Sus scrofa: one gene and its partners. The protein of the gene in region 1 purifies or fractionates together with the protein of each later gene. This does not show direct contact. Links are inferred from orthologs where the notes say so. Each region holds a gene or a part of one and is shown on either strand. Other genes may lie near its edges.

Region 1 (4,003 bases):
GATGAGAAAACTAGGCCTTACAGATTAAGTGATGTGTCAAAGATTTGGCTTCATAGCCAGACTGGACAACTCCAGAGCAAGAGCTCTCTAACTTACGCTGTTTCCCCTCTAGAATGAATGAAGCTCCAATCAGGCAAGTCCAGAAGCCAAGCTTGCAGGGAGAACCAGACATCAGTACAATAGCTTTGACCTGTTCCATAAAAAGCCCTACAAGGAGGCTGACAGTGTTCCCAGCATTCAAGGCAGAACAAACTCATTTCTGTATTCTCTCTCAAGACATCTTACAAATTGCTAAAGAAATCATTAGGAGAGTTCATGGAGGCCGTAGGTTCCAGAAGTAGTAAGTTCAGATGTTTATAAGGAGTATAAAATGTGGCATTTTAGCAGCAGATGAGGAAGGAGAGAAAACAGATACAGAAATACAGTGAGAAAGAAGACTGGAAACAGCTGATTCACTGAAGTCTTGGTGTCTACCCTATGTAAGGCACCCCACCAGGGTGTTCCTGGACTTTTTAAAAAATTTTGTTTTATTGGAGTATATATAGTTGACTTACAATGTGGTATTAGCCTCAGGGGTATAGCAAAAAATGAGTAAGTTATACATATATACATCCTTTCTTTTTTCCCATATAGGTTATAACAGATTATTGAGTAGATCTTCCCATGCTATACAGTAGGTCCTTGTTAATTACCTATTTCATATGCAGTAGTATGTATATGTTATTCCCATCCTCCTAATATATTCCCTCCCAGTAGTTTCTTCTATGGTTACCATAAGTTTGATTTTGAAATCTGAGTTTGTTTTATAAGTTATTCTGTATCATTTTTATTAGATTCCACATATATGTGATATCATATGATATTTGTCTTTGTCTTGTTTTTGGACTTTTTTTTTTTTTTTTTTTTTTTTGGTCTTTTCTAGGGCTGCACCCACGGCATATGGAAGTTCCCAGGCTGGGGGTCTAATTGGAGCTGTAGTCACAGGCCTATGCCAGAGCCACAGCAACTCGGGATCTGAGCCTTGTCTGCAACCTACACCACAGCTCACGGCAAAGCCGGATCCTTAACCCAATGAACGAGGCCAGGGATCAAACCCGTAACCTCATCGTTCCTAGTCAGATTTGTTAACCACTGTGCCACGACGGGAACTCCATTGTTTTTGGACTTTTGGATGCACCCTCTAAGCTGCCATTTCAGTTACTCTGAGATTCCCTGGGACTTATTGGTTCTGTTCTTTCAAGAAGCCTTTTCCTGGAGTTCCTGCTATGGTGCAGTGGGTAAGAATCTGACTGCAGTGACTTGGGTCACTGTGGAGGTGTGGGTTCAATCCCTGACCTGGCAGGTTAAAAGATCTGCCATTGCCACAGCTGTGGCATAGGCTATAGCTATGGCTCAGGAACTTCCATAATCCATTGTGCAGCCATAAAATTTTATTTTATTTATTTTTAAAAAACTTATCATAAAATTTAAAAAAAGGCCTTTTCCTAAACTTCCAACTCATCCTAGGGTCAGCACAAAAAAGACCTGGCCAGACCCTTCCAGACAAAGTGTTCAACTCTTACCTGCCAGGAACCATTTGAGATGCTTTATCGGCATTATCTTAGTAATTCCCACAACAGCACTACAAGGGACTAACTGCTACTCCTATTTCACAAAGAAATAAAGCCTAAAAATAGTCAAGATCACAGATAGCAATCAGTAGGATTCCAATCCGGTTTCTCGGACTCCAAAGACTATCATGACTTCGGTGATGGTTTCGTCTCCCAGGAAGCAGCCCAGCTACTTCTCCATAACTGGACACAAGTGGGTTTGACCTCTGCCCTAGGTTAGTACGTTAATGCCACACTCACGTTTTCCTTGTTTTCGTCCTGGTCAATCAGCTGAAAGACATCATGGTCAAGAGAATCAGAATGGCTCCTCTTCAGAGCTGGACTACACCCCAAGAGCTTCTGCTATCAAAGTGGAAAAAGGAATTAGGGTACATAAATGAAAACTCAATGGAAATTCAATTCTAAAAGAAAAAAAATGCTAGTGGTGGGATAGGGAGGCTTAGCTCCTCACACACTGTACTAAGTAACCAGTAAATGCGGCTAGGGCTCCACCTTGTGAGAACACAGGATAGAGGGTCTCACTAACATGGCTTTACACCAACTTCACAAGGTCTACAGCCCTTTTAGGAGGGACTCAGGTATCAAACACCATTTGCATAAAAATAAGCCTTCTTGGCTTGATAAAGCTGAATAGTTAGAAATGGAGGAAAAAGCCCAAGAAGTAGCCAATACTGAAGTGGCTTTAGGTAGTGTTTTGAATGCTAGTGAGACTAAGTAAGGAAAAGCAGGCTTTGGGTCTAAATTAAGGTCTGCTTTCAAGGTCACACTGGTAGCTAAGGGGCAGAGAATAAGTATCAGCTCAAAATAAACAAGAGAACTTACAGGTAGGGAATTTATTCTCCTCATGGGATTTTCACGGCTGCAATGAGTTCAAAAAGTAAATAATGAGAATAAAGTAAAGAAATATTCACATTAGCAGATGCACAGTGTCTAACCTACAGTTTGGTGGGGTAGGGGAAGAGTCAAACATATTCCCATTTTAGGCAAGATGGAAGAACAGATTTCTGAAGCTGTCCTGCTCTCACAAGCATCCCTACCACTGGACTTTTCTTAAAAAAAAATACACATGCTTAAGACTATGATATCAGAAGGCAGAACAAAGGTTAGGGTGAGACTGGATCAGAACACCAAAATTACAGCCAAAATAAAGGAAGGAAAGTTCTGAAAACTGCTGATACAAACTACTCATTTTCAAAAGATAACAAGACTATTTATAGGATACAGGAATCTTACTAGGGGTAGCTAAATCCAGAGCTCCAGTCCAGAGCATGAGGAATTTCATTAAAAAATATTCAGTTTTGGAAGTTCCTAGTGGCCTAGGTTAGGACTTTCACCACTGCAGCCTGGGTTCTATCCCTGGTCTGGGAACTGAATCCCACATCAAGTCACTGCATGTAGCAGACAGGAAAAAAAAAATTAGGTTTCTTCTAAGCACAGACATTTAAAAGCAGTGAATACATACTTTTCTTTACTGTCCAAGGGCCCAGGAGAATCCAGACAGAAGCCTGTGGGAAGTTAAAAATAATAGTACTAGTACTGTTTCTTTAAGGCAGTCAATAAAGACTCATGGCTTAGATTTTCGGCAGAATTGACGTTGAGGCTCTAGGATCCCCAATTCATAGGGGTATTAAATCCCCAATTTGCACATCAATTCATCCTTTCCTACTTGCAAATATTATCACAGAAAATAGGATTCGAGGAGAGTGAATTAAACCAAACCCCATGACTTATTTACAAGCAGATGAGGCTCAGATCTTGAGTTGCTAAGGCTGTGGTTTAGGCCAGCAGCTACAGCTCCAATTAGACCCCTAGCCTGGGAACCTCCATATGCTGCAGGTGTGGCCCTAGAAAAGGCAAAAAGACCAAAAAAAAAAAAAAAAAAAAAAGGGAACAAATTTACGGTTACCAAAGGGGAAAGGGGGAGGAGAAAGGCATAAATTAGGAGGTTGGGATTAGCATATACACACTACACATATACAATAGATATTAACAAGGTCCTACTATATAGCATGGGAAGCTATATTCAATATCTTGTAATAACTTATAAGGGAAGAGAATATGAAAAAGAATATATATGCATATAACTGAATCACTCTGCTGTACACCAGACAGTGGCCTGGGAACTTCCACATGCTGCAAGCATGGGCAAAAAAATTTAAAACTTCTTAGGCCAAACTTCACGACTGCTTGGTTATTCAGATAGGGATGACCCAAGCTAACTTTCTGTGAGTTCCAACCATGGAAAGAATTAAGTACCCATTTTCTGAATAGTTTTGATTTCAAGTATCTTATCAGGGGTTTGGGAAATACAGTTGTCATCCGACAAGCAAGGCAAGTATTGCCTTCAACAGAATAACACCAAGTCAAGTCAAGTGCAAGGTAGCACAATAGGA
Region 2 (4,003 bases), on another chromosome or scaffold:
TGAAGAAAGTGCTCAGTCAATGTTTGGACCACAGGGTAACTGGAGCTTGAGGAAAATGGTTTGTGATAACAAGTCAGTTAATCCTTAGTAGTCAGAACAGAACTTGTGTTCTTTTGGGCAGTGGGAAACAGTCCATAATTTGAAATAAAGACTAAGGATTAACATATTCACTTGGATTAACTTCACATGACATCGCTAAACAGATCCATTACTTACCAGTTTTATTTGGAGGAAAGTCTTGAATATGAATTTGCTTCCTCTCTGTTGTAACTGTTTAGCTGCTGCCTCTAAATTGGCTCAGCCTAAGTTGGCATTTTACTTTTCCTATTATTTCCTGAAGATACACTGAATAAATTTGAAAAGCTAAATGAATTGTATATCTATTCAGCAGGTAGTCTTTTGAGTTGGTACCAGTTATCTGACCTTTATTCGCAGACCGTGTGCTCTTCTTAACTGTTGTTTCAAAATCTGTTTCAGGTTGATACTCCCTCTCCAAGCCCCATGGAAACATCTGGCTGTGCCCCTGCAGAAGAATATTTGTGTCAGGCTTTCTCTGATGTAATTCTTGCAGTGAATGATGTGGATGCAGAAGATGGAGGGGATCCAAACCTTTGTAGTGAATATGTGAAAGATATCTATGATTATCTGAGACAACTTGAGGTCAGTATAGTAGTACAGAATCTTTGTTTTTTGTCTAAGCTGCATCTAGCTTTATCAAAGAGATACTCCATTAACAGTTTAAGCATTTCTAGGCATTCCCATTGTGGCTCAGTGGTTAACGAATCCGACTAGGAACGATGAGGTTGCGGGTTCCATCCCTGGCCTTGCCCAGTGGGTTGGGAATTGCATTGCCATGAGCTATGGTGTAGGTCGAAGATTCGGCTCAGATCCCGCTGCTGTGACTGTGGTGTAGGCTGGCAGCTACAGCTCCAGTTCGACCCCTATCCTGGGAACCTCCATATGCCACAGGTACAGCCCTAAAAAGACAAAAGACAAAAAAAAAAAAAAAAAAACCATTTAATCATTTCTTTTGTTGTTGTTGTTGTTGTTGTTGTTGTTGCTATTTCTTGGGCCGCTCCCGCGGCATATGGAGGTTCCCAGGCTAGGGGTTGAATCCGAGCTGTAGCCACCGGCCTACGCCAGAGCCACAGCAACGCGGGATCCGAGCCGCGTCTGCAACCTACACCACAGCTCACGGCAACGCCGCATCATTAACCCACTGAGCAAGGGCAGGGACTGAACCCGCAACCTCATGGTTCCTAGTTGGATTCGTTAACCACTGCACCACGACGGGAACTCCCCGTGTAATCATTTCTTAAAAGTAGGTTCCACTTTTAAATTCTTAATGAAACACCAAAAATAAACAAGCTGGTGATCAGGGAAAGTTCAAGTGAGTGGGTAATACCATGCTTTAATTTTTTGTCTCTTTCTTTCTTTCTTTTGTTTTTTTTTGGGCTGCACCCCATTTTGATCAGGGAAAGTTCAAGTGAGTGGGTAATACCATGCTTTAATTTTTTGTCTCTTTCTTTCTTTCTTTTGTTTTTTTTGGGCTGCACCCCCAACATACGGAGGTTCCCAGGCTAAGGGTTGAAAAGGAGCTATAGCCGCTGGCCTATGCCACAGTCACAGCAACACCAGGTCCCAGATGTGTCTGCGACCTACACCACAGCTCATGACAACACTGGATTCTTAACCCACTGAGCAAAGCCAGGGATCGAACCTGCGTCCTCATGGATACTAATCAGATTCATTTCTGCTGAGTGCCATGGCTTTTGTAAAGAAAGTCAGATTGAATGATAATATCCATCACAGTTTGGGGTGGGTGAGTCCCAAATTTGGGTTTAAGGAGGCTAACAGGCTGAAGGTACATGATAATAGAGATGCTGAAAAACTATAGCCAAAAGGCATCTTGGATCAGTGTGGCTTATGAGCATGTGCCATAATGGAAGTTGTTCTTTGCATCTAAGAAGAATATACTCAAAAACTAAATTTTTGGACTTTTTGCCATTTCAGCCCATTTCTCAAACTTTCTATTAGTGTCCTTTGCCCTTTCCTCTCAAAAAAAAGGAGGCATTCTGTATGTTAACAACATAAGTTATACAGTTACCAGATGCATCCAAACTGCTTGTTTATAATGCATTTTATTCTAGTGGCATCGTTAATGTCTTTGGGCTTTGGCCTGGTTTGTTTTTGTTTTTTTCCCAGGCTAGGGGTCGAATCGGAGCTGTAGCCACCGGCCTACGCCAGAGCCAGCCCAACGAGGGATCCGAGCCACGTCTGCAACCTACACCACAGTTCACGGCAACGCCGGATCCTTAACCCACTTAGCAAGGTCACGGATCGAACCCACAACTACTTCATGGTTCCTAGTTGGATTCGTTAACCACTGAGCCACTATGGGAACTCCTGGCCTGATTCTTTTGGGTGTCTCCAATTTTCTATAGGATTGTCCTGCAAGAAGACTTCTGCTCTGGATTTTTTCTTCTCCTCTCCACTTTTTTTCCTTTTTTGGTCTTTTTAGGGCCGCACCCATGGTATATGGAAGTTCCTAGGCTAGGGGTCCAGTTGGAGCTGTAGCTGCCAGACTTATACCACAGCCACAGCAACATGGGATTTGAGTTGTGTCTGCTACCTATACCACAGCTCATGGCAATGCCAGATCCTTAATCCAGTGAGCAAGGCCAGGTATTGAACCTGCGTCCTCATGGACACTAGTTGGGTTTGTTACTGCTGAGCCAGGTGGGGAACTTCCTCTTCTCCCTTGTTTTTGCTTTTTCGGGCCACACATGCTGCATATGGATGTTGCCAGGCTAGGGGTCAAATTGGAGCTGCAGCTGCTGGCCCACACCACAGCCCACAGCAATCCCAGATCTGAGCCGTGTCTGTGACCTATCCAACAGCTTATGGCAATGCCAAAACCTTAACCCCCTGAGTGAGCCCAAGGATTGAACCCACATCCTCATGGATACTAGTTAGATTCATTACTGCTGAGCCACAATGGGAACTCCCTCCCTTGTTTTTAAAGTTTAATGTTCTAACTTCAGAGGAGTGGGTTCAGCAGATGCATAAGCTGGGTTTTGATGGTTCACTCTTATTTATGGGTTTTTGGGGGTTTAAACCCTGGAGCCAGAGTGGTAGCATATTGGTTCCAGCTGATCTGGGAGCTGTTGCTATTTTCTTCTACTTCAGGTTCTGGATTTAGAGTCTTAAGTGAAAAGATATGAGGTGATACTATGGTATCTTTATTAGGGAAGAAGTGGGGACAAGGTATGGGCCAGTAGTGGTGAAATGGACATAGTAAGATCTGCCATTGTGAAAACCTGTCACATTGTCCTGTTGAATGTTTGCTTTATTTCTTCCTCAGCAAAAGAGCTGTTTGCAATGACTGTATGAATAATCCAATCACTAGAGGGATTTCCTGTTGTGGCTCAGCAGTAACGAACCTGACTAGTATCCATGAGGACACAGTTTTTTTTTTTTTTTTTTTTTTTTTTTTGTCTTTTTGCTATTTCTTTGGGCCGCTCCCTTGGCATATGGAGGTTCCCAGGCTAGGGGTCGAATCGGAGCTGTAGCCACTGACCTGCGCCAAAGCCACAGCAACTTGGGATCTGAGCCGCATCTGCAACCTACACCACAGCTCACGGCAACGCCGGATCGTTAACCACTGAGCCACGACGGGAACTCCAGGACACAGTTTTGAGCCCTGGCTTTGCTCTGTGGGTTAAAGGATCCAGCGTTGTGGTGAGCCGCAGTGTAGGTCACAGAGATCGCTTGGATCCCTCGTTGCTGTGGCTATGGCGTAGGCTGGCGGTTGCAGCTCCGATTCAACCCCTAGCCTAGCAACTTCCACATGCTGTGGGTACAGGCCTAAAAAAGATAAAAACAAAACAAAATAATAAAAAAGAACTGTTAGCGATCCTAAATGTTTTAGAGCTACTCTGAGGGGACATTTCTGGTCAGAAATGTCATGTGGGGAGTTCCCGTCATGGCGCAGTGGTTAACG
Region 3 (4,003 bases), on another chromosome or scaffold:
ATTAAAAACATACCAGGGAGTTCCCATCGTGGCGCAGTGGTTAACGAATCCGACTAGGAACCATGAGGTTGCGGGTTCGGTCCCTGCCCTTGCTCAGTGGGTTAACGATCCGGCGTTGCCGTGAGCTGTGGTGTAGGTCGCAGACGCGGCTCGGATCCCGCGTTGCTGTGGCTCTGGCATAGGCCAGTGGCTACAGCTCTGATTAGACCCCTAGCCTGGGAACCTCCATATGCCGCGGGAGCGGCCCAAGAAATAGCAACAACAGCAACAACAACAACAAAAGACAAAAAAAAAAAAAAAAAAAAAAAAAAAACATACCAGGATTAGCTCGAAAAGTGTTCCTTGGTCGACTTTCAGGAATTCTTGATCCCAAACAGGGATATCATCTGTTCGCTTTTCCTTGTTCTCATCATCCTCAGGAGGAGGAGGATCATCCTTATGGTGGGTGCACCACTGAATGACCTGTTACAACAAAAGTTCATTCCTCTGTGGCATTTTGTGACAAGGTACTCATTCCAGGACTGGGGCAAGGTTATTCATACACTGGGCTAAGAACTAGCTATAGTCGAACTGGATAATCAAGTTAGTAGCCAAGCTTTTTAAAAGCACAACCCTTGAGGACAGAATATCTTAGGTAACAGTGAACCATGCAGTCAGATTACTATACATGACCATATGAAAAAGCTACTCTGCAAAAAAAAAAAAAAAAAAAAAAAAAAAACCCAAAAAACATTAAATTAGAAATAAACATGTACAAGCCAGCAAATGACCACACCATAAAATATAAAATCTCAAAAAAATCTCTACAATAGACTAAAGATATGAAAAGGCAGTTTATAAAATGTCTGAATAGTCAAAGAGGAGGAAATTCTCAGCTTTATTAAATGCAAAATTAACACTACAGTCAGAAACTACTTTAGATCATGCCCCCCAAAAAGATATATAAAAATCAAGACGCTGGAGTTCTCATCGTGGCGCAGAGGAAACGAATCTGACTAGGAACCATGAAATTTGCAGGTTCGATACCTGGCCTCTCTCAGTGGGTTAAGGATCCAGCGTTGCCATGAGCTGTGGTATAGGTCGCAGATGTGGCTTGGATCCCGAGTTGCTGTGGCTCCGGTGTATCCCAGCAGCTGTAGCTCCAACTGAACCCCTAGCCTGGGAACCTCCATATGCCGCAGGTGCAGCCATAAAAAGACAAAAAACAAAACAAAACAAACAAAAAATCATGACGTTGATACTAATCACTGACAATAGTGTGAGGATAACATGAATGCTTCTACTGTAGAGTGTAAATTAGTATAATCCCTTTGAAAAGTAATCTAGGAATACCAAGTAAGCTGAATGAGAATGGGTGTTTGCTGTATAATCTAACTTTTCTGTATGATTAAAAATTTTTTTAGTTTATAATGTCGGGGGAATAAACAATGCTGAGAGACAATGGGAGAGCTGAGAAATTATAAATTACATATAAATTCTATATTTATAGATAAATTACATATAGATTGTATACCACCAGGATACAAAAAAAGAGAAATAACTATTTCCAGAAGAAAAAGCCAAGCATAAAGGGCTTTAATTAAAGCCCATGCTCCCAATGCCCAGAACTTTCTTCCCCCATAGAGTCATGTCTTTGTTCAAAGATCATCTTCTCACCTTAAGGCATTTCCTGACCATCTTTGTTTTAAAAACAGCCAACTGCTCCCTACCATACCACTTTACTCCAAAGCTTTTCCATGTGACATACTGCTTATGTTGTACACTTCCCCCACACCTTCAGAATGCAGACTCCCTAAGGACAGCAATTTTGTCTGTTTAGTTCACTGCTATACCTCCAGCACCTAAGAGAGGCCTGACATTTGAATGAATGCAAGAAAAAGCCCTTTTAGAAGCATTTTGTATTGGCATAAAATAGAATGTTAGTTTGCAAAGACAATGCCCAGAAGTCAGAAAGGAGATTTACTTAGATAAAATACAAAGCTTCTGAACCAAAAAATACTAAGAATTGACAAAAGACAAGCAAATTGATAAAAACTATATAAAGAACTCCTATAACAAGCCTACTAGACTATGAAATGGGTGCATTTTGAAAACATTATCCTAAGTGAAATAAGTCAGACACACAAGGATTAAATGTTCTATGATCCCATTTTTATAAGGTACCCAATATAGTCAAATTCATAGACACAGAATACAGAACAGTGGATATAAGGGTTTTTTTACCCAGACTAGGCACAATACATACATACATACATACATATATAAATTTATTTTTTTGCTTTTTAGGGCCACACCTGTGGCATATGGAAGTTCGTAGGCCAGGGGACCAATTGGAGCTACAGCTGCTGGCCTACGCCACAGCAACGCAGGATCCAAGCCACGCCTGAGACCTACACCAGAGCTCACGGCAAATACGGGATCCCTGACCCACTAGGATTGAACCCACATACTCATGGATATCAGTCGGATTACTTTCTGCTGCCTGACAGCAGAACTCGACTAGGCATATTTAAAAGACTGGTAATAGCCAAGTGTAGTAAAACTACGGAAACACATGCAGCGCAGCTGCATCTCATTCCAGGGTCAAGAGAAAGCATAAAATGTAAATATGTATGGTTAAGGACCTCTCAAAATCCCTGAGGAAGGCCCCACCTGGAACTGACCACTTCCATCTCCAAGCCTAGCCAGTTCTCCCCCCAGTGTGCAAACTGCCGGCTTTCTTCAGAAGAGCAAGCAGTCCAACAGCTGTCTCTGTTATGGAGCCATATGCCCTGAAACACTAAAATCCTATTCAACAGAGTGGCCTGTTGTTTATGCTTGGAAAAAGTGTTGATCAATAAGTGACGGGGGAAACACATGGTCGTGTTCTCTAACTCGCTGAGGTATACCCATTCAGTAGATAAGCAATTCAATATTTAAAATGTGTTAATGAAAAAGACTACACAATTTAAATCTTCAGAGCCTGGTTAAATCAACTAAAACAAATATCTTAGTCATAATCTTATATAATTGTTTGGCTGTTGTTTTTTTTTTAATTTTTAGGACCACACCAGCAGCATATGGAGGTTCCCATGCTAGGGGTCGAATCAGAGCTGTAGCCACTAGCCTATGCCACAGCCACAGCAATGCTAGATCCGAGCTGTGTCAGTGACCTACACCATAGCGCACGGCAATGCCAGATCCTTGGCTCACTGAGCAAGGACAGGGATCAAACCGGCGTCCTCATGGATGCTAGTCATGATCTATGTGTCGATATAGAAAGATGACGGAGATACTGCTAAATGGATGCATACATATGTATGTGTAGAGTTTGCTACCTTACCTTTTTTAATATTGCTGCATTAACATTTGGTAAAGGGACTGGATCATCATCTCCTTCATCATCCATTCCCAAATCTAAGAAAACCAGAAGAGAGTCTCTATTATATTCTAACTCCATTATAACATTTACACCAACCAGGCTGTCTCAAACAAGTAACTTGCAAGACATGCTATCTCAAAGACTATAAAAGGGCATTACTAAAAATAGTTCTTTCAAAAGCACTTAAAATAGACAGTTCCTAGCAACAGCTCCAAGAACTACCCAAAACTATATAAAGTTGTATGAGTAGAGAAATGCAGGAATATTATAAAAAGGCAGTTCTTAATTAGGAAGAAAGGCGACTTAAGAAGTAGGAATGGAGTTCCCATCGTGGCTCAGTGGTTAATGAATCCGACTAGGAACCATGAGGTGGCGGGTTCGATCCCTGGCCTTGCTCAGTGGGTTAAGCATCCGGCGTTGCCATGAGCTGTGGTGTAGGTCGCAAACTTGGCTCAGATCTCACATTGTTGTGGCTGTGGTACAGGCCAGTGGCTACGGCTCCGATTTGACCCCTAGCCTGGGAACCTCCACATGCCACGGGAGCGGCCCAAGAAATGGCAGAAAGACAAAAAAAAAAAAAAAGAAGAAGAAGAAGAAGAAGTAGGACTGAGGAGTTCTCTGGTGGCCTAGCATGTAAAATAG

Evidence for each region. Proteins that work in one complex are often made in the same cells at the same time.
Region 2: the proteins of CDC25A (region 1) and CCNB1 purify together in Homo sapiens (affinity purification with mass spectrometry; 3 studies listed by BioGRID, with this or other methods). This does not show direct contact. The link is inferred for Sus scrofa from reciprocal best matches to the Homo sapiens genes CDC25A and CCNB1.
Region 3: the proteins of CDC25A (region 1) and SKP1 purify together in Homo sapiens (affinity purification with western blotting; 6 studies listed by BioGRID and IntAct, with this or other methods). This does not show direct contact. The link is inferred for Sus scrofa from reciprocal best matches to the Homo sapiens genes CDC25A and SKP1.

Annotation. Positions count from the first base shown.
Region 1 is NW_018085145.1:105,456-109,458, reverse strand, and holds part of CDC25A (M-phase inducer phosphatase 1), read right to left. Parts: intron 3,116-4,003; coding exon 3,073-3,115; intron 2,470-3,072; coding exon 2,433-2,469; intron 1,953-2,432; coding exon 1,851-1,952; intron 1-1,850. UniProt on the Homo sapiens protein: Tyrosine protein phosphatase which functions as a dosage-dependent inducer of mitotic progression. Directly dephosphorylates CDK1 and stimulates its kinase activity. Also dephosphorylates CDK2 in complex with cyclin-E, in vitro.
Region 2 is NC_010458.4:47,340,889-47,344,891, forward strand, and holds part of CCNB1 (G2/mitotic-specific cyclin-B1), read left to right. Parts: intron 1-477; coding exon 478-660; intron 661-4,003. UniProt on the Homo sapiens protein: Essential for the control of the cell cycle at the G2/M (mitosis) transition.
Region 3 is NC_010444.4:136,462,712-136,466,714, forward strand, and holds part of SKP1 (S-phase kinase-associated protein 1), read right to left. Parts: intron 3,397-4,003; coding exon 3,323-3,396; intron 463-3,322; coding exon 319-462; intron 1-318. UniProt on the Homo sapiens protein: Essential component of the SCF (SKP1-CUL1-F-box protein) ubiquitin ligase complex, which mediates the ubiquitination of proteins involved in cell cycle progression, signal transduction and transcription.